Linked DNA regions of Arabidopsis thaliana. The protein of the gene in region 4 purifies or fractionates together with the protein of the main gene of each other region. This does not show direct contact. Each region holds a gene or a part of one and is shown on either strand. Other genes may lie near its edges.

The links.
Region 1: the proteins of LIS (region 4) and MCM5 fractionate together in Arabidopsis thaliana (co-fractionation; one large-scale study listed by BioGRID). This does not show direct contact.
Region 2: the proteins of LIS (region 4) and GYRA fractionate together in Arabidopsis thaliana (co-fractionation; one large-scale study listed by BioGRID). This does not show direct contact.
Region 3: the proteins of LIS (region 4) and AT2G40290 fractionate together in Arabidopsis thaliana (co-fractionation; one large-scale study listed by BioGRID). This does not show direct contact.

What each region holds. Positions count from the first base shown.
Region 1 is NC_003071.7:3,522,463-3,529,248, reverse strand, and holds MCM5 (Minichromosome maintenance (MCM2/3/5) family protein), read left to right. Parts: upstream 1-1,748; 5' UTR 1,749-1,860; coding exon 1,861-2,130; intron 2,131-2,198; coding exon 2,199-2,342; intron 2,343-2,419; coding exon 2,420-2,599; intron 2,600-2,678; coding exon 2,679-2,777; intron 2,778-2,848; coding exon 2,849-2,985; intron 2,986-3,084; coding exon 3,085-3,190; intron 3,191-3,484; coding exon 3,485-3,619; intron 3,620-3,706; coding exon 3,707-3,784; intron 3,785-3,990; coding exon 3,991-4,095; intron 4,096-4,186; coding exon 4,187-4,278; intron 4,279-4,363; coding exon 4,364-4,496; intron 4,497-4,599; coding exon 4,600-4,695; intron 4,696-4,844; coding exon 4,845-4,936; intron 4,937-5,026; coding exon 5,027-5,117; intron 5,118-5,199; coding exon 5,200-5,309; intron 5,310-5,393; coding exon 5,394-5,523; intron 5,524-5,602; coding exon 5,603-5,704; intron 5,705-5,786; coding exon 5,787-5,870; 3' UTR 5,871-6,265; downstream 6,266-6,786. Other genes in the region: ABCC13 (multidrug resistance-associated protein 11), read right to left, coding at 6,758-6,786. UniProt on the Arabidopsis thaliana protein: Probable component of the MCM2-7 complex (MCM complex) that may function as a DNA helicase and which is essential to undergo a single round of replication initiation and elongation per cell cycle in eukaryotic cells.
Region 2 is NC_003074.8:3,340,343-3,348,294, forward strand, and holds the start of GYRA (DNA GYRASE A), read right to left. Parts: upstream 6,019-7,952; 5' UTR 5,902-6,018; coding exon 5,477-5,901; intron 5,383-5,476; coding exon 5,313-5,382; intron 5,215-5,312; coding exon 5,149-5,214; intron 5,035-5,148; coding exon 4,933-5,034; intron 4,745-4,932; coding exon 4,700-4,744; intron 4,624-4,699; coding exon 4,525-4,623; intron 4,386-4,524; coding exon 4,299-4,385; intron 4,166-4,298; coding exon 4,095-4,165; intron 3,607-4,094; coding exon 3,498-3,606; intron 3,393-3,497; coding exon 3,330-3,392; intron 3,181-3,329; coding exon 3,115-3,180; intron 3,020-3,114; coding exon 2,931-3,019; intron 2,730-2,930; coding exon 2,681-2,729; intron 2,528-2,680; coding exon 2,441-2,527; intron 2,340-2,440; coding exon 2,246-2,339; intron 1,861-2,245; coding exon 1,790-1,860; intron 1,705-1,789; coding exon 1,615-1,704; intron 1,225-1,614; coding exon 1,099-1,224; intron 1,013-1,098; coding exon 855-1,012; intron 757-854; and 7 more. Other genes in the region: GalAK (galacturonic acid kinase), read right to left, coding at 6,447-6,694, 6,829-6,918, 7,027-7,096, 7,191-7,219, 7,312-7,352, 7,515-7,666. UniProt on the Arabidopsis thaliana protein: A type II topoisomerase that negatively supercoils closed circular double-stranded DNA in an ATP-dependent manner.
Region 3 is NC_003071.7:16,828,231-16,832,845, forward strand, and holds AT2G40290 (Eukaryotic translation initiation factor 2 subunit 1), read right to left. Parts: upstream 2,997-4,615; 5' UTR 2,660-2,996; coding exon 2,276-2,659; intron 2,146-2,275; coding exon 2,089-2,145; intron 2,010-2,088; coding exon 1,923-2,009; intron 1,840-1,922; coding exon 1,693-1,839; coding exon of another isoform or gene 1,642-1,692; exon of another isoform or gene 1,605-1,641; coding exon 1,500-1,604; intron 1,192-1,499; coding exon 1,093-1,191; exon of another isoform or gene 1,089-1,092; intron 956-1,088; coding exon 800-955; 3' UTR 536-799; downstream 1-535. Other genes in the region: AT2G40280 (S-adenosyl-L-methionine-dependent methyltransferases superfamily protein), read right to left, coding at 1-70; FER4 (ferritin 4), read right to left, coding at 3,271-3,308, 3,444-3,507, 3,612-3,677, 3,795-3,856, 4,114-4,201, 4,287-4,347, 4,432-4,515. UniProt on the Arabidopsis thaliana protein: Functions in the early steps of protein synthesis by forming a ternary complex with GTP and initiator tRNA. This complex binds to a 40S ribosomal subunit, followed by mRNA binding to form a 43S pre-initiation complex.
Region 4 is NC_003071.7:17,303,623-17,309,089, forward strand, and holds LIS (WD-40 repeat family protein / small nuclear ribonucleoprotein Prp4p-like protein), read right to left. Parts: upstream 3,805-5,467; 5' UTR 3,745-3,804; intron 3,663-3,744; exon of another isoform or gene 3,644-3,662; 5' UTR 3,554-3,643; intron 3,290-3,553; 5' UTR 3,234-3,289; coding exon 3,143-3,233; intron 2,882-3,142; coding exon 2,155-2,881; intron 1,749-2,154; coding exon 1,292-1,748; intron 1,190-1,291; coding exon 992-1,189; intron 889-991; coding exon 697-888; 3' UTR 508-696; downstream 1-507. Other genes in the region: GPT (UDP-glcnac-adolichol phosphate glcnac-1-p-transferase), read left to right, coding at 18-58, 141-261, 349-408. UniProt on the Arabidopsis thaliana protein: Participates in pre-mRNA splicing. Part of the U4/U5/U6 tri-snRNP complex, one of the building blocks of the spliceosome. Essential for reproduction.

The DNA.
Region 1 (6,786 bases), about 14 Mb from region 4:
AACAAATTGAGATAGAAAATCCATATTATCCAATCCATATGGACAACAATGGAATATATAATCTCCAATGAGAAACATGTAACCATAAACCCTAAATCATTGTAGACAACTTTGATTCTTCAACCCAAAACCCTAAATCATCTAAACTAAACGCGAAATCCTAAACAATAAAGCCTAAATCCTAAAATGTAAACACTAGATACTAAATCTTAAACCCTAGACATTAAACCCTAGCCCTTGACTTTAAAGCCTAAACCCTAAAACCTAAGTTTTATATGTACATAATCTATAACCACCACTTTTGATCCATGATAATCTAAAGCACGCTTCTTAACCTGAAAACGTAAAATATTATTGAGATCGATGTGTTCATACACAATCTTACGATATACACTCGTATTTATGTTTTGTTAATATGTAATCGTGGATAAATAAATATAAACATTTTCATAAATAAACTTTTGTTGATATGACCAACAAAACTTGTTTCATCACATTTTATCAACATCTTTTACATAACGTAACACTGGTTTTATGAATAGTATTAACAAAACACAATCATTTTGAATTATCGACCGTCAACACACATCCACCAAACTCTGACCATGTGGTCATTTCAAATTATCGCCTATCACTCTTCTTTGATTTGTTTTGTATTTTTTCCATTTTTTCATTATTTGCTCATGTGTTTTAATGAAAATAGCATCAAACTACCTTTAAGTTACAAATTTATAGTAAGAATATATGTTTGGGTTCTTTAATTCAACTCTCTCTCTCTCTTTGAGGAATTTCCACAAATATTTGGTGGCCAAATCTAAGATTTGTAAAAAGACAAAAATTTGACCAAGACAATGATGGATACACTAAGAGAAGAAGAAACCTAGCAATTAAAAATGAAAATTTTAACCTTATGAGGTTGATTAAAGAATGAGAAACTGAATAAAAATCTTGAAAATTTCCAACTTTTAAGATCTAAGAAGAGAAAGAAAAAAGAAAAATCTAGATCTACTTTTTGGTGTTTTTGATGAGAGAGAAGAGAGATAATGTCTCAAACCATTTCCTTTTTTCATTAAGATATTTTAAGTGTTTTGTGTGTTTAATTTTGTAAAGAGTAGAGAAAAAAATGAATGAAAAGAGAGAAAAAGTAATGGTTGTAAATTATGGTAAGTTTGGATTGCTTAGGTTGGGTTGATGGTGTAGTAGTAAAAAAACTTTAAAAAGTGTTTACTCTTTCTAAAGTGCTTTATTGCGTAATTGAGTTTCAAAAAAGTGTCCAATTACCTAATATTCTCAAAAACATTTATCATGTTAATGACATTTCTGTAATTAACGTAAATGAGAAGGATATATATGGTTGATTTTTCTTTTCTTTTTTATAGTTACTTAATTTTCAAATTATTAATGTTATAAAACTAAAAACTATTCTTTTAAACATATATATTAATATAGCCTTAAATTTTAAGTGACATTGAAGAAAATTACGATGGAATTGAAAATGCTTACAACGATATTAAGTAGCTTAAAAATATGAAATTCTAAAATGTGCAATTCATAAATTTAAGATTCCTAGATGTAGTCCATAATTATATTTTTATCTGTTTGGTTTTTTATAATAAATTAGAAAAAATGGATAAAAAATGTAACCTTAGCTAAAAAGAAAAAGAAAGAAAGACCCAATAACCAACGAAATCCATTTACCCGTCCATAGGTCTTGGGTTCGGCCCATCAGTTTCCCGCCACATTGTTCCCGCCAAAACTCATAGTCGACATAAAGCCCTTGCCCCCACTCTCTCTCTTCGTTTAGAACTTTTTGATAAGAGAGAAAGAGATAGAGAAATTCGTAACGGAGACGAAGCAACGATGTCAGGATGGGACGAAGGAGCAGTTTACTACAGCGACCAGCCGCAGTTCCCGGAGGCCGGAGACGCCGCAACCATCAGTCCCCACGCCGTCTTAACCAAATTTAAGGAATTCATTCGAAACTTCGAGATCGAACAGAATTGTTTCCCCTACAGAGAAGCTCTCCTCGATAACCCTAAGCGACTTGTTGTCCACCTCGAAGATCTCCTCTCCTTTGATTCCGATCTCCCCTCCTTAATCCGATCTGCTCCTGCCGATTATCTCCCTGTGGTATGACTTCAAAAAAAATTAGGGTTCATATAAGCTTTGTATTGAGTGAGTCAATCTTTGAATTGTAGTTTGAGAAAGCAGCTGGTGAAGTGTTGACTGGATTGAAAATGAGGGAGGCTAATGAGGGAGGGGTAATGGAGGAACCTCTGACTAGAGATGTGCAGATTTTGCTCACTTCAAGAGAGGATCCAGTATCAATGAGATTACTTGGGGTATGTCTGTTTTTTTGTTTTTAGTATCAATGAGATTACTTGGGGTATGTCTATAATGTACTCTTTACTCTTGATAGGCACAGTACATCTCAAAGTTGGTGAAAATCTCTGGGATTAGTATTGCAGCTTCGAGAGTGAAAGCAAAGGCGACTTATGTGTTTTTGGTATGTAAGAATTGTAAAAAGACAAGGGAAGTTCCATGTCGTCCGGGTCTTGGTGGGGCAATTGTTCCTCGATCATGTGATAATATTCCACAGGTGAGTTCTTTTGATTCGTTTGTGATTTGAGTTTGTAGTTATCCTTGGTGTTGATTAGACCAAATTGGAATTTGTTTAGCCTGGAGAGGAGCCTTGCCCTCTTGATCCTTGGATGGTGGTTCCTGATAGGAGCCAGTATGTTGATCAACAGACCTTAAAGCTACAGGAGAATCCGGAGGTATAGATTTACATTGTAATGTTTTCGCTTTTTTTGCACTTGTATATATTAAATGCTTCTGAGTTTTGAAGGATGTTCCTACTGGAGAGCTTCCAAGAAATATGCTTCTCTCAGTTGATCGGCATCTTGTACAAACAATTGTACCTGGAACCAGACTGACAGTAATGGGTATCTACAGCATTTTCCAAGCTTCGTCATCATCTAACTCGTAAGCTTTGTAGTTTTATGTCAAATGAGAGTGTAGATTGTTTTCTGGGAGAGTTACACCACAACAATGATGGACATCTTTTCCTACTTTCTGATGTAGGCATAAAGGAGCAGTTGCAATTCGCCAGCCTTATATCCGAGTTGTTGGACTGGAAGACACAAATGAGGCCAGTTCCCGTGGCCCTGCCAACTTCACTCCTGACGAAGTTAGTATCGCATCATTTGGTTCTTTTTGTTTTCTCATTTGATAGCCTATGTCATCCATGGTTTCACAATGAACTATTGAAGTTAACATGGCTGAATTATTGTTACTGGAAACCAAATGCCTTAGGTAGCTGTTGGCTCTATGAAATTCTTTGTGTAACTCCCAAATGAATGTGATGGTGTTTTCTGGAAATATTCTCTGTGCTACTAGTTTACTATGAAACATTTAGGCCTGCTTGGAAGCCTAGTTGTACAATTCCATTTATCAGTTTTGTCTTCCATAATATTACTTTTAGGAGGAAGAATTCAAAAAGTTTGCTGATAGTCAAGATGTATACAAGAACATTTGCACCAAGATCGCTCCTTCTATATTTGGCCATGAGGATGTGAAGAGAGCAGCTGCGTGTCTTCTCTTTGGAGGATCCAGGAAGGTAGGAAACTGTGATAGCAGTTTTTATTTTCTGTGCACTTTGTATACGTTTTTGATATATTTATATACATTTCTATCTTTGATTCAGAGCCTGCCCGATGGAGTGAAACTAAGAGGTGATATTAATGTTTTGCTTTTGGGAGACCCATCAACTGCAAAATCACAGGTTTGTAATGTGGTCTCAGTATCAATGGTTTATAATAAGTGTGTTATTCTTTTTATATTTTCTTACGTCTCTCTTATTTGCTTGATATTCGTCTTACATCCTTCTGTTCAAGTGTTAGATTACAATCCTTACAAAATGTCTGTGTTATTTCCAACACCTGTAGCTTACATGTTTAAAGCTTAATTGCTTATTTTTTTTCTCTCTAGTTTCTTAAGTTTGTGGAGAAGACGGCTCCAATTGCTGTTTATACATCTGGAAAGGGTTCATCGGCTGCTGGGCTCACAGCTTCGGTGATTCGAGATAGCAGCACTGTATGTCCTATCTTCAAGTGTTTTTCTATGATTTGTTTAAAAGTAGTTGCTATGACAGATTCTCAGTTATTTATACATATGTTCATTGCAGCGAGAGTTCTATCTTGAAGGTGGTGCTATGGTTTTGGCTGATGGAGGTGTTGTGTGTATTGATGAATTTGACAAGATGAGACCGGAAGATAGGTAATTCAAATCTGAATCATAGTGTTGACGAATCTAATTTTTCTCTATGAGTAGAATTGATGGAATGTTTTTTTTTTCTTTATAGGGTTGCTATTCATGAGGCAATGGAGCAGCAGACAATCTCCATTGCAAAAGCTGGGATAACAACTGTCCTTAATTCTAGAACCTCGGTGCTTGCTGCTGCTAACCCGCCATCTGGTCGATATGATGACCTTAAGGTTTGAAATCTGGTACTCTCCTTTGGCAATATCATGGTTTTCCCGATTCTTGTTTGCAATATTCTTAAGAGATGGGTGTGTTTTTTTTTCTTTGGATTTGCAGACTGCTCAGGACAATATCGATCTGCAGACAACAATTCTTTCTAGATTTGATCTTATCTTCATTGTCAAGGACATCAGGAAGTATTCCCAAGACAAGGTAAGCAAGGAAAGGAACAATTCTTTCAGAAATTTTATGTAGTTAAAAGGGAAAACAGAGATTAATGATGGAGGTCACTGTTATTGGAAAGTTTGCTTCGTTGCTTGCTTATTATGTAGACATGATTAATGTTTATAATCTTTTCACAGGAAATAGCCAGCCATATTATAAGGGTTCATGCATCTGCAAACAAATTTTCGGATGAAAACACAGATTCTAAAGAAGATAATTGGCTCAAAAGGTGTGTTTTCATTCGTCGAGAAAACAATGTGTTCTCGCAGTTTTCTGTACAAAATCATGACTCTAAAATATAATGCTCTTTTTATGTTAGGTATATACAATACTGTCGAGCAAGGTGTCATCCCCGTCTCTCAAAAGACGCTGCTGAGAACCTGCAGCGGAAATATGTCACAATCAGAATGGTAATTGTCATTTACATTAGATTTGACAATAAGATGGTTAAAAAACAAAGTTGGTGTCAGTATAAAATTTTCGGCTAAACAGGATATGAAGAGACGTGCACATGAAACAGGAGAGGCTGCTCCGATACCTATCACAGTGAGACAACTCGAAGCTATTGTCAGACTGAGTGAGTCACTTGCAAAAATGAGACTGTAAGTAATCTTATTAACATAGAGATTCCTGATTCCTGAAACCTGATGGGATGTGCCGTCCATTGACATTGTTAAATATGTCAGGTCACACGAGGCCACACCAGATGATGTAGACAAAGCTTTTAAACTTTTTGATACCTCGACAATGGATGCAGCAAGATCAGGGATAAATCAACAGATAAACATAACAGGCGAGATGGCCAATGAAATCAAGGTTAGTTGCTTGTGGGGAAGAAAGAATCATCGTATCTCTAGATGTAATAACTAAATTTGGTATTGGTGTGAAAAAACAGCAAGCGGAAACACAGATAAAGAGAAGAATGGGGATCGGAGCTCGATTATCAGAGAGAAGACTGATAGAGGATCTGGCTAGAATGGGAATGAACGATTCAATGGTACCTAAGCTAACATCTTTGTTGTTTAATTTTCAGTAATGTGAATGGGATTTTTGAGGTAATGTGCATGTTAAAATGGCAGGTGAGGAGAGCTTTGTTGATAATGCACCAGAGAGGTGAAGTTGAGTACCAGCGAGAGAGACGTTCTATTGTCCGCAAAGCTTGATCGTCTAGGCATGCAATCTCTCTTCTTTAGTAGCAGCGATGACCAAACAAAACAAAATATTTAATATTATCAAGTTAATTTGTAGGCAAAAAGTAGAAAGAGAAGCTTATGTCATGTGTATTTGATGAAGATTCTTAGTAAACTTTTACGCTTGCTTCAAACTAATGTATTCTCCACCTTTGTTGTCCTTAGTTAAAATGTCACGCCAATGTTAGGAAAGCGTTTGAAGATTGCTGAATGGTATAATCTAGTGCCGATAGTTAAAGTAAAGATGCAGATAGAATAGTTGATAAAGTAAAAGTGTAATCTGAACGTATATGTAAATTAAAATTTTCTTAATGTTGTTATTAGTAGAATGTTGTTACCTTGAAAAAAAAATGAAATAAATAACCATGGTTGAACTTGACTCAAAATGTTCTTCTTTTAAACTGGTTCGGGTTACAAAACTAGTATGTTGTTGAATTTTGAACTGGTTCTGAAGCTCCCGGAATCTCTCAATTTCATTTTGTTCTTGTGTTGTTGAGAGATAATTGCTTCTCTATTTAACATATTTTTGGCCAATTACTTTACTCTATCATGCATAGCTTGGGAAACTCATGGCTAAAGCTGTTTTAAGTTGCAATGAAGAATCAATTCCTTCTGAACTAACTTCTTGGAAGAAAAACAGACAATAAGAGTACCATTGTTTACTTCTCAGTTCTCAATCACCATCGAATTAGATAGATATTTATGAATTTGGATTAGGCAAGTCCATGAAGACTCATTTATTATGGAAAACTGAGCATATAAATGAGCTACTACAGTTGAAACTAGTTTTTCTTAATTTCCATGACAAGATAATTATAGCAGAGATCAGAAGTTACAAGTGATCAGATTCTAACAACATTTCACTGAGAAGCTCTGACAAAGCTTGAAA
Region 2 (7,952 bases), on a different chromosome or scaffold from region 4:
TGAAGCATCTTCCGACTTCTCTTCCATATCTTTCCGCAGAGATGCAGGTATGATGTCCATGCTCGCTATCTTATCCTCATTCTTGAGTCTCATGGCAGTCACTCCCTTTGTATTTCTGCTCAGTGTGCGAACCTAAACAAACAAAAGCCATCAGAGTTTGCTCAAGTATTAAAAGGTTTACATGAAAGATGAATCATTTAGAAAAAATGAGAGCCACAACTTACACCATCACATGTACTCAAGGCGACCATTCCATTTTGGGATGCCATGGCTACAAGATCGTCGCTTGAGCAACAACGAACCCATTTCAGTTCATCACCAGAATTCTGAAGACAAATAATTTTGTTAGAGTAACCTTGTTAAGAAGACTTCCTATATGACTAAGAAGAAAAAGGGGACAAACCAACTGAATTGCTATGATTCCAGTTGAGCGTATTCCTGAAAATAATTTCAAAGATACTTTCTTGATGCAGCCATTCACTGTAAGCATCAGGAGGTAGCGATCTTCAGCAAACTCGCTAACAGGAACAATGGAGGTTACTCTTTCACCTTCCGACATGGATAATATCTGCTTCCACAAGTCACATGAACACAGCAAAACATTAGCCTTTCATAAAATTGAATAATTTTTGACATAGCAGAAGGAAAACATAGATACACAGATATGTAATTACCTGAACCAAAGGTGTACCAGCTGCATTGCGAGAGCATTCTGGAATTTTATATGCACGGGTTGAGTAAACTATACCCCGGTCACTGAATGTACAACAAGTATAAGCAATGAATTACAACAAGGCAGAAAATTAATATCCATGTGCGTAGCAAACACAAAGGAAATTTTGAGGTATACATACCTGAAAAAGAGGACATGGTCATGTGCATGACAAACAAGAAAGTCAGACATTGCATCATCAACTCTTAGTTTCCCAACAGATTTGCCAATTGTTCCACGATGCTGAAGATTGAATGTATCGGCCTTCATTCTCTTCACATAGCCCTTTTCGCTGACTGCCTATAGTCATCCATATCAAAAGTTACAAAACAAACAACAAAAATTTCAACGTTGAGAAACTTTCTAGGTTTAAGTATGCAACATACCATCAGCATCTCTTCATTTGGAATAACATCTATATCTTCTAGATCACCACTGTCAGAATCCTCCAACATTGAACGCCTGGGACTTGAGAATCTGTCCTTCAGCTCTATTGCTTCTTGTTCGATTAACTAAAGAAAAATACAAGAAAAACAACGAAGAGAATAAAGTAGTAAGTAATATACAATGAAGTAAACGAAGCAAATAGTTCAATTTTGGTCTACAAGAAAATCATCATGTATCAGTTATCTTCCTAACATTGGCCCAGAACAGCAACATATAGTAAGCAGCTTTACAGATATAAAAATAAGTACCAAACAAGAAATGGAAGAAGCATTTGAATCCTTATACCACATCATAATGCATGGACTAGATTTTGAACCTCAGTGGACTCAAACAGTCAAGCTTACAAATTTGGAGTACATATATTGATGCATCTATCATTCTACTAGCATCTAGGTGTTCTAAATTTCTAATATCAATAGCCAAAAGAACAGATAACTAAAAAGTGAGTGTGTCACCTTTAGGATGTTTGTTCGGGTTGATAATAGCTGCTCCAACTTTGTAATTTGCTCTGTTAGTGAACTACTTTCATCAGTAAACTTTTTCCGCTGCATTTATGAAGGGAGAATCTAGTTAGAACATTGTCAAGCCTACAAGTTTCATAAATTGAACTTAGCGAGAATAAGAAAGCACCTCAAGAGCAGTTAGCCTTCGAAGAGTTATCTCCAGTATAGCCTCAGCTTGTTTCTCAGAAAGACCATATTCTACATAAGTAAATGTTTGACAAGTGTTAATTTTAATATATGGTATCGTCCCTTACAATAGAGACTTACAAAGCATAAATCCCTAAGAAATCTTTGCAATTAAGATCAAATCTTACAACGAATGAGACTCCAGCAGTTCCAGATAAAAAGACAAGAAATATATAATGTTCAAATGTAATATGGAAGAGTTCACCACAAGATGTATTCTTTTAATAGTGTACATCCTAGACTACATCTATCAGTCCACCTAAGAAAAATTGGCTCTAGTCTACTTTTTGACTCCTAATTCTCGCTCACTTTTCCGAATTCTGTTTATACATCAACCTATAATGTGCAGTTCAAGATTGTTACATTGATTATATTGTCAAAGTAAAATATAGCTCACCACTTTGTAAAGCAGCAGTAGCAGAGGAATGACTTGAGGCCTTCGTGATGAGTTCGATTACTTCGTCCACATTGTCAAGCCCAACCACAATACCCTAAGCATATATACAGTGAAGATATTAGAAAAAATGCTTTACATCATTACATCATGGTCTTCACGAGCAGATTTAAGAAAGTTAAATATTTCTAGTCGCACCTCAATAATATGCTTTCGTTGTTGTGCATGTGAAAGCTTGAATCTTGCACGCCTTTCGACGACAGAACACCTGAAATCTATAAATGCCTACACACAAGCAAGAAACAGAAAGTAATCAACAAATTTACTTTAAAATGTGATTACAGTAGCACAGAAGTAAATATCCTATCTCTGATCTTCACTTTTCTATTACTCCTTGTGGGCTACGTAGATAAATGATTTACATAGACAAGTGGTCACCTGAAGTAGTTCTTTTAATCCCATTAGCTTGGGTTCTCCATCGCAGATACTGTAAAACACAGAATACCATAATCCAGTTACGATAAAGAAAAACGCATATGTGAATACATGATCCTTAATATATTTACAAGCATAACATACTCATTAGAGAATTTTCAACTAGTCATCCTGGAAAATGCCCAAGTTCTTTTATATGCCCACTCTTCAAAAAAGTACAGGAAATAAGAAGTTATCGGTTGATGCAACTCACCCCACCATGTTGCAGCTGAAGCTTGATTGAAGGGCAGTATGCCGGTAAAGATTATTAAGCACAAGTGCAGGATCCCCTCCTCTTTTGAGCTATAGAGAAGTATTGGAAATTATCTTAATTACCTTCCAATATGAAATTTTAAAGCAGACTAATACATCTAAGTGCAGAGGAAACAGTGTAATACCTCAATAACCACACGCATCCCATTACGATCACTCTCGTCACGTATGTCACTTATGCCCTCTAGCGTCTGAAAACAAACACCAACATCAATGAATAAAGAAGAAACTTTGCAAGCATATAAGGACATACTAGAAATGTAACACACCTCTGAGTAAAATAAGTACATATTGCTAAGTGAAGCAAAATAAACATTAGATGTCGCAAGTTTAGTTGTACCTTATTTTCAACAAGTTCGGCAATCTTCTGGACAAGTGTAGCTTTGTTTGTCTGGTAAGGAATCTGCAATAAAGTCACACTAAAGGCATTACTCTACTGCTAATAAACATTTTTGAAACCCTCATCCATGGAGATCTGAACATTAATCTAAAAAACTAAATTGATCACCTCTGTGATAATAACTGCATTCCGCTTTGTCTTTGGATCCAACAATTCAACTTCAGCTTTTCCTCTAACTACAACTCGCCCTCGGCCAGTTCGGTAAGCATCCAAAACCCTTGAAAGCGCAAACACACATTAGAAAATTATAAGAATCCAACATTGTAAAAGGAAATGGCATATGAATGCAAACTATTTTTTTAATAAAGGTATTCAACAAACTCGAGAGTAAATGTACTACACAACATATAAGCTTTCAGAATATTAAAAAATCACTCACACCATCAGAAAAAAACATGATGATTCAAAAACTGCATATGACAGACAAATAAAGGAAAACTATTAACTGGACCATCCTCTTCACTCATTTTCTAGGTTCCTTTTAAGATATAGGTACAGCTTCTGTAATCTGTTAGAATCATAGATCAAAACAAAACAAAATGCTTTTCTATTTCCATAAAAAAAAAGTTTCACACTTTAGAAGTGAGTCTTTCTATTTGATCCTATAGATAGCCTACTCTCAAAAAATTAGCAAACGAGGTGGGCAAACAAAAGTCATTAATGTATAAGATCCCTTTGGGGAGAAATTGGAAAGCAAAGAGTTACCCAAGGTTTCCCATTATTATTCCTCCAGTTGGAAAATCCGGTGCAGGCATGTATTCCAGCAGTTCTTGCAGCTGCCCAGACGAAGAAGAAAGTGGAAACAAAATCTTATGAGTTGTCTACTTATAAAACAGAGGATTTTTCATGTAAAACAAAAGACCCACAAATTGATAAATCACAGAAAAACAAAGGGGAGATGAGTGATACCGTTGCTTCTGGATTATGGATTAAAGCGCAAAGCACGTCTACCAACTCCCCAAGATTATGAGGGGGAATATTTGTTGCCATGCCAACCTAAACAATGTGAAATGATCAAGATTCAACTGCATATTCAATCTCATACAGCAGGGAAAATCTGCACAAGATTAACTGAAGAAATCTCGAACAAAATCTATTAAGGAGTTCAGATTTAAGATTTGTTTGATTATTTTACCGCAATCCCAGAAGCTCCATTCAACAACAAAGCAGGAAGACGAGCAGGCAACACTGCTGGTTCTTTTTGTGAGTTATCAAAATTGGCCACAAAATCCACCTGCCAAAACAAAAGAGGTTAAGGACCATCTAGTTGAGTATCGGTAAACTTGGCAACAAATTAATAGTGAGGTTACCGTATCTTGATCCAGATCAGACAATAGTACTGCCTCTGCCAGTGGCTGCAGAAAAAAAATAAGTACAATCAGCTGAAAACACTGACAAAAATACATGTTCATCTCAAGACAAGAGAAAAAGTAGAGATGAGAGATACACTATAGATAGCAAAGACAAGTGAAACAACTAGAAAAAGTGAATTGCAGGGAAAACCATTTCAACTAGAAGGGAAAGTAAGGTAAAAGGCACTCACATCGAGTCTGCATTCAGTGTAACGCATAGCAGCAGGAGGATCTGCATCTATTGAGCCAAAATTTCCATGGCCTTGGATAAGTGGACATCTCAAGGAGAAACTCTGCCAAAAAAACAAAGGTATTAAAACAAAAAAGTCAGAAGTTTGGGAAGAATCGAATCGTGCCTGAAACATTATTTGAGGACTGGACTACATTCCATGAATTCAGATATTTACCTGAGCCATCCTAACAAGAGAATCATAAACAGCAGTATCTCCATGCGGATGGAATTTACCAAGAACCTGAAAACCCAAAGAATTCAACAGCACAAATCGTTCTTCAGAATAAGATATTTAGAGAAATCGACTGAGAAAACACTTTCCAAAAATCAATAATATACCTCTCCAACAACTCTTGCACATTTCTTGTATGGTTTTTTAGATGACATCCCCAACTCATGCATTGCAAAGCTGGAAGACAAAATAATCGAACATTAGAAGGAACAATACCACTGACTAAGCTTAAAAATATCAGTAGCTTTGAGCCGAACGAAAGTCACTCAACAGAATTCTCCGATGTACTGGTTTTAGTCCGTCTCTAACATCAGGCAAAGCACGTCCAAGCAAAACAGAGAGCGCATACGACATATACGACTCAGTAGCTTCCTTATGTAGCTCAAAAGGCACAATACGAGATTCGTCCCCAGAAACAACCAAACCGCCATTGTTAGCTCCGGACTCTTCCTTGACCTGCTCATCTCCGCGCTTACCAGCACCGACAACGAATTTGCCGGACCGAGGAGTACGGGAGGAGAAGAAACGCGTGGCGGAGGGTTCAGTGCGGCGGAGACGGCATAATGGGTCGGTGAGGGGGAATCGGAAGAAGGAGCGGCGAAGAAGGGAGGAAGAGAGACGGAGAGTGGAGGAGAGAGACATGAGAGAGTTAGGGTTAGGGATTGAAGCAGTGGAATGGCATAATACTGGAGTCATGCCCAGAGGGTTTTAGGGATTTTTACAAGTACAAATGGATTAAAGTGCTAAAACCCTAGAGAGCCACACCGGAGAATTTCTCAGGCGCGAATTTCAATACTTTGGCGGGGGTCTTTGTGTCCAAACAAAAAACTAATCTGTATCTCTATTTGAGATATACACTATTTTATACAAACAAGATTATAATAACTAACTTTCGATTTCAATTTCTAATTTCATACTTGTATAGTGTCTTTGTTAGATCAATTACAGAACTAAATTCACCAATTGTTGAAAATTTAACAAATTTATGGAGAAATGTTAGTCACATTTTTGAAGTTTGCGATTCTTCTATCGACTCGAAAACGGTAGAGAATGATTTACATTATGTATTTGTAGCAAAAAAAATGTATCAAGCAATGATGAAACTCCGACCAAAGAGACCAGAGAATTTCTCAGACAGGATCAAAAAGAGATAAACAAGCAAAGAATCAATAAGCGTGAGAGATATAAGGGACAAAAAAATCGAGTTTAAGTGGGGAAGAAACCAAAAACTCCAGGATTGATCAGAGAAGAACACGAGCAGCGTCACCTGCTTCACAGATGAGAACAGGTTTTCCTCCATTTAGATTGTTAGCAAACTCGGGTTGGGCCTTTTCATATTCATCCTTCACATATGAAGCAGCTGCCTCAGCTTTTTCTGCATCTACAAAGGCTAGACAACATCCCCTGAAACCTGCACCGCTGAATCTAGCTCCATATACACCAGGAGCCTTCAGAAGAATCTTGTATAGCTGGATCAGTGGCTCCGCACCTTCACAAAACTCACAGAATTTAAAACCAAAATAATGAATCTAAGAGAGAATAATGTCTGTAAGCATACTAGTGGTCTGTATTCACTATAGGATATGTTGCATTTGGGAGAGAAGAAAAGAGAGTGTAATGTACCGCATTCGTAATTCTCAATGGAACTCAAGCCGGATGCTGAAATTAGCTTTCCAAATTCTTCAAGATTCCCTGAAGCCCAGGCTTCCCGTCCTGAAATTTAAGAACAAACATTCATAAAAGTCCGTTAAGCATCATAAAGAGCTTAATGAATCATTCATGCACATAAAGAGACATCTACAAGAATTCAAGAACATTTGCCTTTGATAACTCGCATGTTCTCCGAGAAATAATGCTCTGCTCTTTTAGCTAAAACCGGTTTCAGCTCATGCTGCACGAACAAGTATTATTGTATTACATATTTACATAGGCCTGATATAGGTGGAACCTGTTTTACCAAAAGCTTAAGAATCTTATTTTCTTACCTTGTGAGCTTCATAGACCGCATGCTCAACTATTCAGTGGGACAGTTAGAGACATGGCAACAAAGAAAAACTAATCAGCATGCAACGAATAAGTTAAAGTCCACACTTAAAGTTTTTTTACCATTGCACAACGTAGGTTCCAGCTCACTGTTCCCAGATGCACTGAAAAGAAAAAGTAAATCAAGAGAAGGGTGTGAATCTTGTGATGCAGAAAAATGAGTATCACAAGCAATAGAGAAATAAACTTTGCAGCATTTCCACTGAAATTTAAATCTAAATAAGCGAAAATGTAGATAAATATGAATCAAACAGATTTGCACATACGTCAAAAGAACTTTTGCTGCCTCTTGACACTCAGAAACTCGCAGATTATATCCTGGGTTGGTGGTCAACGCCTGCCTCAAGCCTGAGAATGCTAACAATATCCTGAACGGTTTCTCCAGTTCAGGAGCCTGTACAAGCTCGTGGTCCAAAGTCTGCATATTTCAAACAGTTTTTCTGAGATGGCAGTTTCTGGAAGAAAATAAAGTTTCCCTATCTATGGCTGGTTAGGAAGGATTTCTTCAAGGCCTCCTGATTCTAACCATTCATTTTCATTTTAGGAAGAAGTGAACTCAGCATTGAAATACATTAAAATCGAAGCAATTGAAAAGATTAAACACTTATTTTCTCGTGAAAGCAATGAGAATGTTGTAGATCTGATTTGATCGTGAGTCATTTTCAGTTTAGAGATCAAAAACATCTTAGGCATCCCATTGAACA
Region 3 (4,615 bases), 480 kb from region 4:
GGAAGAAGGTGATGGCGATGAGGAGAGTGGAGAGGAGTAAAACGACGACGTGTTGTACTGATATCGCCATTGGAGACGAAGATCATTAGAGATCAGTGTTACGAGACGCGTTTCAGGTAAGAGGAAGAGGAAAGTGTGAGCTGAGCTGAGCTCCAAAAGTCGCAACTTTCACATTTCGATTTTGCAGAGAGAGCTTAAGTAATTTTTAATGCGCCGACAGATTAAAAAAGGATTTGTGTCCGAAAGAATTTTTCTTTTCTGATTAGTAGTATAAGACAAGATGTTTGATCTTGTAATAAATCATTTTAATTATGAATCAATTGCAAGTTAACCATTTATGTATCAGACAGAGGATTTTTAAGAATTTCATTTTTGGTAAATTTTCTCAATAGAAGATCGCAGTAGTAATTGATGAATATCTGCATCTTCGGAGACATCAGATCTGAATTAAATCTACACACCTATCATTGCCAGATCCAATCAACCTACTTTCCTGAGGTTTAAACTCAAAAGTATGATCATATTGAGCCAAAGTTTTCCTAAGATAATAATGAGTCATGTGGTGGAGCAACATATTCTTGAGCAGTAGTAACATATGCAAAGAATCAAATCTTTTATAAAACCATGAATGTATGATTGATATGTAACCACCCCCTATGGGTAAAATAAAATGCCTCAGAGTCATCAAAAAGCACATAAATCCTCTCGGAGGTTTTTCTACTGCCTTGTCAAAGCTTAAACCAAAATACTGGGACTGTTGAGATTGGGTAGATTTAATAGAAAGAAAAATCCGGCAATCTTACTCGATGATTCCGGCACCTGCATCGAGATCCACTTCGCCCATACCAGTGTCCTCTTCTTCGTCTCCGCTATCTTCATCGCCGCTCATTTCTTCATTGTCAAGACGTAGCTTAGCCATGTGTTCTGTCAGCATCTTTTCATCACGTTCACTCACCTATATTTGACATAGATTATAAACATTAATAGGCGGTTGTGAACCAAATTAAACAAAACACAAAAGAAAAGCTCGTTCTTGTGACATGCAACTCGAGACGGTTCATCACTTAAAAAAAACTAATTTAAGATACTCACAGCTCTAGCCCCCTCCTTAACGACAAGCTTGCCTTTGTGTGTCTCAATTGTCTCAGTGCATGCTGCTATGGCTTTGTTTAGAATTTCAATCCCTTGTTCCTGTTTAATATTTGAGAAATTGAGAAGATAAAATGGGACAAAACATAGCATTTACACATTTATGGTTTAAGTGAAGACAAATCCGCAGAGCTACATAATTGGCAAACAAAGTTGCAATGTCCAGTGTTTTCTTAAGCATTTACTTTCCTTGCAACTACAGTGTTTTCAAAATTCTGGCAAGTAGCTTTAGTGGATATACAATCTAAACAGAGATCATAAACCTCTTAAAGATAAGTAGGGGAGGATTTCTATAATATACCAATTACCAAACCAAGTAAATCATAGTGCAAGATAGAAGATTGCCTAACCTTGTCAAGTGTCTGAGTAGTAAGGACATACAGAGGTGGAGCAACCAATTTAATCTTAACAGGACAGTCTTCATTTCCAGCGGCTTCAGCATTTTTCATAGCCTCCTGAAATTACAAGCATGGGTGAGAAAATCAAATGAAATCATAATGTATTCATTTCACAAGTTAAAGATAATCTAATAAGAGATACGACCTTAATGTGAACAACTCCATCAAACTGAAAACACTTCAATTCGATATCAGCCCGGATTTTCATTGGTTGTGGTGTCATTCTCCTCCTAATGTTCTTCACAAGTGCATCTTTCACTTCTTCCGTAACAGCAGGTACAACCTTAGTCACCTACAAACAGAAAACTTGTAAGATTAGCACCAAATAAAGTTAGTACTAACCGCTAAAACAATGCCAGAGAACAAAGTATATACCTCTTGCCCATCAGGCCCAACTTCTTTGATCTCACGGGTGAGAGGACCCAACACTGAATCAGGATCCGTCACTAAGATCTTGAAAGCCTGAACAAAAGAAAATTATATATGAGAACTAAATAACCATAGAGATACACAATGAATCTCCAATTCACAAAATTCTTACCTCAAAAGCATGACCATGTCGTCGATACAAAGGCCAACCAATGTTCACATACAAGTCCTGCAACATGAAAGCTCAAATCAATTTCTATTCAACGATCACATCACTAAGCTATGATATTTGATAATATCTCTAACAAGCAAAATCCAAATCCAGTAGATAATCCCAGATTTGAACTACGATATTTTACCTCCAAATCAATTGAAAGAGTCTCAGCAACATGGCGCATGATAGAATGAACAAGTTTGCTCTTGTTATACCTCTCTTCACAAGTCTGAATATCTTCCTCGCTGACTCTACGTTTGCTCAGATCAATGTAACCTTTCTCTTTGTCAACACGGAGAACCATGACAGGCTCAATTCTTCCGACCTTAATCAAACTGCTAACACTTCGGATCCGACGACGAGAGAGCTCGGAGAAAAGGATCATGCCTTCGATGTTGTTGTACTCGAGGAGAGAAACATAAGCTCCCATATCGGCAATGTTCTTCACCTGGATCATCACCGCCATATCCACCTCTGGGTATTTCGCCTCGTACATCCGACACTCGAGATTCGGTGTTTGACTCGCCATGATTGGTAGATTTCGATACTGCTTGAGCTCACGCGAATTCACTCTTCGTTGAATCGGGTAAAGCTACGAGGCGGAGACACTTAGGGTTTTAGACTTTTTAGGCGACGGAGCAAATCAGACAGGTTTCTAGAGATAAGAAATGAGCAAGGAACACAAACGGAAAATGAGTCGACTTGCGTCAAAGATGCCAAGTTAAACGGCACCGTGTCAGTTAAACAATTAGGTTTTAATTGGGCCACAAGATAGTTTCAAGGGGTTAGGGGTTAAAAGCCTATTCGGGTTTCAGACATTTTCGGCCCAACTTCTTTCACAACGTAAGTTTGGATTGATTTCCTTTGCTTATTCATGAATTGCGTTTAAACCGGAGCAAACTAAACTAGAGCTCGAATCCACATTTGGCAGTCCAAAAACATTCTGACCGAACCGATGTAGAATCGATCACCAGGTGGGTTTGATGAACCTTATACCAGAATATAAAGTTATGTGATCATGTCTTTTGTCTCTTACAGAAAAAGAAGTCTACTACCTCACAAAATCGTAAAAGCTAAAGAACTAAACATAAAGTAGACACATATAGAAACACAGTAGACACAAGAGTCCCTCGAAGCTGCTTACCCTTCCAGAAGCATCTGATTGAAATGCCATGTTCCTGAAATTACCCACAAGCATTCAAAGACATATATTAAAACCAAGTTTGAGGCACGACGTAGGATGAATAAGTGGATTTTCTTGTTCTTTTATAAATTTATAGATTAGAACAAAATGTGAGAGATTATTTATGTACCGTGTCCTTTGCCAACTCGTCGCAGTTGAGCCACATATTCTGAGATCAACTTGATTGCTTCCACCTGAGAAATGTTTTATTTTATCAAAAATTCCTATTAGATTCTCTTTGATAGCTTATATACAACAGTAGCTCTTTGCCACTAACATAGAACACCAAATAAATTACCTGCTCTGTCAGAAACTCGCTCTCAATAAAATCTGCCAAGTGGACATCATTGTTCTTCGAAGCAACCTGTTGAAGCAAAGCATTACCAAACTGAGAACAGTTCTTGCCGAGTGAAGATTAGATTTACTTCTCAAATACGGATTTGACATATATAGTATGAACTCAAGAAGAGATGGTCTTTACACTGTGAAGGTTTAAGAGCTTCTCATTAACTAGTTTCTCCAGTGACAGAGCAAGCTCCATGCCTGCAACAACAAATCACAGAATTGTATGTTAAAATTCCTATATCCATTGAGACTTGAATCTCCATATGAGAGATACATTTTCATAATACTTAAGAACTCAGATAAAATTCAGTCTTTGCTAGTGAAAATATGCAATCTCTTCAAAAGCTTAACAAAATCATTGGTGTCAATATCTAATTTCTTAGAATGTGGCAGACATATGAAACTAAAGAAGTTTTTTCACTTGGGATTATTAGTGTTAGCATTTTTGAGCTTACCATAAAGAGCATCTCCTTTGTCAACATGTTCAAACTCTGAAAGAGGCATTACAATGGACTGTAACTTAACCCTCCCACCACGTTTGTTCTGCAATTCATGGAAAAAAACTAAAACATGTTAGAACCAAATTAGCTCCAATAAGGTAAACAAATGGAAATAACTTTCATAAGACCTGATACTCCATTAACTTCTCAGCATGCTCTCTTTCTTCCAAACTTGATTCCTTAAAGAACCTGATTCCATGAAACCAACAATTAACTATGGATAAACAAAAAAAATCCGAAAATATCAACACTCTTGAATAACCGGAGACTCACTTGGCAAGACCTTTGAGCGCGATGTTATCCCGATCAAAGTAAGCATACATAGCGTGATACACATACGAGACATTGTATTCCACACTGCAACCAAAATCCATTGAAGAATTTCAAATTCACAGGTTCATAAACAATAAGCAGAATCAACATGAGGTTCCAAGTTACCAAATCTTATAGCCAATCA
Region 4 (5,467 bases):
ATATGATAACTCTTCAGCTTGCTGGGATTGTGAAATGTCCGCGCCATCGTCTCCCAAGGTAACCCCCTTTGTTTTCTTACCCTTTGTAGACTGATTAAAGAACAGACGCATCACTCATCTTGTCTTTTGAAAATATCCAGGTATGATCCTGCTACCGGATTACTGACCGGCACAAAAGATGGGACACTCGTCAATGTTTACTTGAGGTTGTTTGGTCCTAAATCAGAAAAGTCTCTTTGCATCCATCTTCTCGTTTTCCAGGTAGGTCTCAGATATATGTATATCGCCATTCGTATATAATGAAGTAGTCGCTTTAGTGTTGTCATACTCTGCTTGTTTTTGCTACAGGCTCTAGCCTGCGCCTTCTGCTTCATACTTCGACACTTTCTTGCTGGTTGGTATAAATAGTCTGCAATCAGAGAAGTCACAAATACAGAACATTACTTTAGTACCTTGTACAATCGTATATATCAACAATTTTTGTTAACGTGTTGAAGTATTCTCAAGTAAACAAAGTTCATTCATTTGCTTTTTGTTGAACGAAATGGCAAAATTTTCAAGACAATGTATCAGCATCCTGAGTTTCTATAATTCCCGACAAGAGATCAAATACAATTTAATGAGTTTCTCTAACAAGCTAATCTCGAAATCCCTAGATCCCAAGTTTTTTTTCTTGCACAAACATGAAAAATGAAACTAGAGATCTATGTCCATTGTTTCTTTCTCTTCGTCTTCATCATCATTTCCACTGCTTGTCCATAGCTTGATGGTGCGATCATGTGATACAGTAGCGATACACGAGCTATCTGCTGTGATATCTAGAGAGGCGACTTTTGACTCATGCCCTGCTAAGCTTTTAACGAGCGAGAAATCTCTTCCTGACCATATCTGGTAGACAAAATATAAGAAATTGGAATCAAACTATAAGCCAATGAAACAGAAGACTGAAAAAAAAAAAAATACTAAGGCAAGGGATTATAGAAGTAGTTACATTGACTTTCATGTCGTATGAGGCAGTGGCCAGAAAGTAGCCTTCTTGTGGCTCATACTTCACTTGAGACACAAGGTTAGCATGAGCTGGTATAATGTACAATGACTTTCTCATTCTTAGATCCCAAATACGGCATTGATTATCCTCCCCACCAGATGCCAAGTGATAACCATTAGGAGAGAAATTCACGGAGAAAACCTGAAGAAACATATAAAACAGAGGATATTAAAACAAGGGTTAGTAAATAATCACTTTTGCTTGGATACGAGGAGGACCAATGGAACAAAATTAGAATCTTACCGGTTTGATGTGTCCTTGGAAGACAAGAATACTCCTACCAGTGCGGAGATCCCAAACTCGTGCGAGTGAATCAAGCCCACAAGAAGCTGCTAATGCTCCATCTTGTTGAAATGCAATTCCGTAGACACTGCGGCTATGGCCTTCTTGCAAAAGCAGTTCTGCTCCTGTGTTTATATCCCACAATCTCCACGTCTTGTCATAGCTTGTAGTTCCCAGGTATTTCCCTGATGGGTGGAAAGCAACACGTGCCAGACGATCCAAATGACCTTCAAACGTTTGTAGGAGTGTTCCATCAGTTTTCCACAGCTTTGCAGTTCGATCAGCAGAAGCAGTCGCTAGACAATCATCCACTGGGGAGAACACTACATCAGTTGCACGTTCTTTGTGATCCTTCAAGACAGCAATCGTGTTTGTAACTTGAGGCATCTCCCACAATTTAGTAACTCCACTCAGAGAACTAGACAAAAAAAAAATCGATGAATTACTAAACAGAAGGGAACTATGTGAATCACACAAGTCATGAACCTAGAGAATGCGTAATGCAGTTAGAAAGGGCAAATGCAATAGACATGGAGTATGCTATCTATAAGATAAACTATAGGCCTAACTAACTTCATGGTTTTATAAAGGTGCAGTGTTTAAAAGTGAGGAAAATCAGCAAGTTCAGTGTTTAAGAACAGGATTATTAAGATACTTCTCTACTGATATATCAATGAAAATGAATATGCAGGTAGAATGCAATCTAGTCCAGGTAACTCTAATCAAATAGAGACGAGGAAAAATAGTTTCAAGCCTAAGAAACAATATGTGGAGAATATGTGAATTTGTGTTGAGAGTGAGAAGGAGATAGAAGAGAGACATACCATGTGGCAAGTATCTTTCCATCGCGTGAGAAGGAGCAGCCGGTAAGAGGACGATCATCTCCAAAATTACTGCAATCAAGGGCCATGTGTTTAGCATGCTTTAAAGCCCACTTAGTCTCTGCATCCATATCTTCATCTGGATCATCCCTCCGCCGCTTTGCACGCTGAATCCTGACAGCAGCTCTCTTGACAGAAAACTTGGCAATTTCTATTCTAGCCTCTCTAAGTTCCTTTGGACCCTCGGTAAAAAAGGGGTATTCAAGAACTTCATCATCTACTTCCTCTTTTGGAGTCACATCTTCTTCGTGATCTTTAACCAGTTTATCCAATTGCCCATTGATATCATACCTAGTCAACAGCTGAGTCAGCCTAGCTCGTCTCTCCATTTCCTGTTCTCCAAATAGAGTAATGGGCTCCCCAAGTCGTCTAAGTCGGTCCCTAACAGCTTTGTCATTTGTTGGAACTGCCATAGCAGCAGCACGACGCTTTACCAACAAATCTTGCAATGCCTTTTCCTGTCTTTCTCTGACCTGCTTACTCTCTTCAGATATCTCAATATGTTCATCATCTGATTCCGAATCCGAGTCACTGGTTTTCACTCCACCATTTTGTGAAACAGGTGGCCTAAAAGTAGGTGGGCGGGCAACTGGAGGATGTGGCATCATAGGTATTGGAGCCATTGGTGGGGGAAAAGAAGGAGGAACCACAGGTGGAATGGCAGAGAAACCTGAAGTTACAGTAAAAGTGAAACATAAATTACTAGAGTTAAAGGATCACGAAACCAAAGAAAACCCAATGCACTTCTTTAATAATTGGAAGAACGAAACAGTATCTGGACTCTACAGACCAAATCCTTAAGCTCTAATCTAGATGCATTGCGAGAAAAATACAAAAACAAACTCAACCAGGAAAAAGTGAAACAGATTTAAGGAATTCAACTGCACTATAATCTTTGATGTAACAATTTACTTGAATGCTAATTAATTACCTGGCAGAGACGAGGCATCTTGTAGAACTGGAGGTGCTGAAATTTGAGCTGTTGCTGCTAATGAAACATTATCATCCTTGTTGGGTTCCATGTTTCCCTTAAATCCTCAAAAGAAAACACCACCGAAACAGCAATCTAGAGAAAACCCTGGAACAAAGAAGAATTCCAAATCAGTTCTCGTGTCCTAGTATACACAAGACAATGCATTAAACAAATAAGAAAGAGGTTAGCTTTATTCTAAAACTCAAAGTATCAAGTGCTCTCTTGGGAATTTAAACAAACACCTAACAGTCAAAGTATCAAGCTTCCTAGTCACCTCATAAGGGGATACTAGAGCATACTCAGTGAAAGAAGCAAAGAAAATCAACAGGTTTCAGTAGAAAAAAATCGAAACTGGGATCGTAAGTTTACCAGGAATTGACGAAACCCGCGAATCTCGTTACTCTCTTCGAAAGCCCCAAACACGAAACAGTCTTGTCAGTTGCTCAAGCTCCGTGTTTCCTGAGAAAAAACCCATAACCTAATCAACAACCCAATTGTTAAAAATCCATCTTTATGAGAAACAAAGAGAAGCTAAATCAGAGAGGAAAGTTGGTTCATACCTCTGAGTCTGACCAGAGACGACGGTAGCAAAAACGGAAATTTGATGCGAGAAAGCCGAGAGGGTTTTTCTTATTTATTTTTTAGTCCTTTAAACCGACCTTTGACAAAAAAAAAACGACTTTGTGAAAACGGGCCGGTTCATATTGGGCCTTTTTCATAATGGGCTTTTATTAATTCGTAAAAGTTTGAGTATATGAAGCAGGTCATGTTCATTTTCTGTTTACGTAAAAAAATCTTCTAACACAATTCAACCAAATCCATTCACGGCCCAATAAATTATTGAATCTTGTGGTATGCTCCAAATTTCTTTACCTAAAACTCTAAATATTTAAAAACCAGATTCTATTTTGCAATTATTTGAAAATTTGGATTCTAAAATATAAAGAAAAAACTGAATAAAGAAGTAGGACCCGATGCACTAGCACACTCAGCACCTCCCAAGAGTCGGGCCTGATTCACATACACAATTTGGTATACTCAGAAACGAGCTTCTCTACGAATTTGTCGATAACTTTTATAATAAAGGAGATCATCGTACGTGTCCACGTAAATGTTTTTGTTTTGGTCAAAGTGCACGTTTTCTATTGTCCATTGAATCCTTTGTGTTTACTCATTCTCCAAAACTTGAAACTATATGTACATAACTCATTTTTAGTATAGCTTTAAGTGATTTGCTATCTACAATAGACTATAGTAAACGAATATTTTGTAACATGATAGATTAATAAAGTAGAGATCTAATTAAGGAGGGAAGGAAATCATCAGTGTCTTCAAACCAATACAAATAAGAGTGAGTTTTGGTTCATTCCAGCCCTACACCTAGAGCAACCGATTCACAATTTTAGTTTATTGTTTTCGAATATTCTTATATGATTCTCTTATAAGCATCACACCTGAACAAAGAAACTTCTAGCCTTTCTACAATGTTCCGATAGAGTAGCTAATTCGGACAATGTTCCAACATAAATCCGTAACGTGGCATACAAAAAGTTACACGAAATCTTGAACCTTGCTGTTACCGCTCCTGTTTTACTTTCAGTCACAGTTTCTTTTTTCCACAGTGTTGGTTTCTTCTGATGTTTCAAAAGTTGGCCAACCCCACAATCTTTTTCTCAGACAGTGTAGTTAGTTTTTTTTGGTGAATGGTATCTATCAATCAGTCAAATGAGTCAGTCTAAGATTCAAGATATTGATCCTACCATATCATATTAGATTCCACGTGGCGCAAGCCAAGGCATGGCTTAGAGGAGGGGTCCCTTACTTCATATGGCCTGTGACATTGTTTTCCCAAAAAGTGGTTCCACTTTGTTGAGACTTTCAAGCTCAGCCACTAAGACTTGCTCTTCAACTTCTTCTACTACTTCTGGTTCCTAAATCTTGTCTGCTCAATATTTCTAAGTCATTTAGATGTCTTTTCGTGTTATCTCAAGTCCTTTTCTTCCCCGTGTTTGTTACTTACTTTCTATCTAGTGCAGTGGGTGAGGAAATGGCTCCACTTACCACGTGAAGATAGCTTGAAGATAACCCTTTTTCTATGTTTTATATAACCCTCTATAGACAATAACTCACTTGTCGCTATCGTTTGAAATACTTGGAACTTTGATGCTTAATCATTCCTTGTTTTGAATGACTTATCTTAATCCTAAGATGGAGATTTCAAAGATTTACTTGCTAGTTCATTGAACTTAATTGCAAAGATGCTCTATACTTTGAATCTTATTA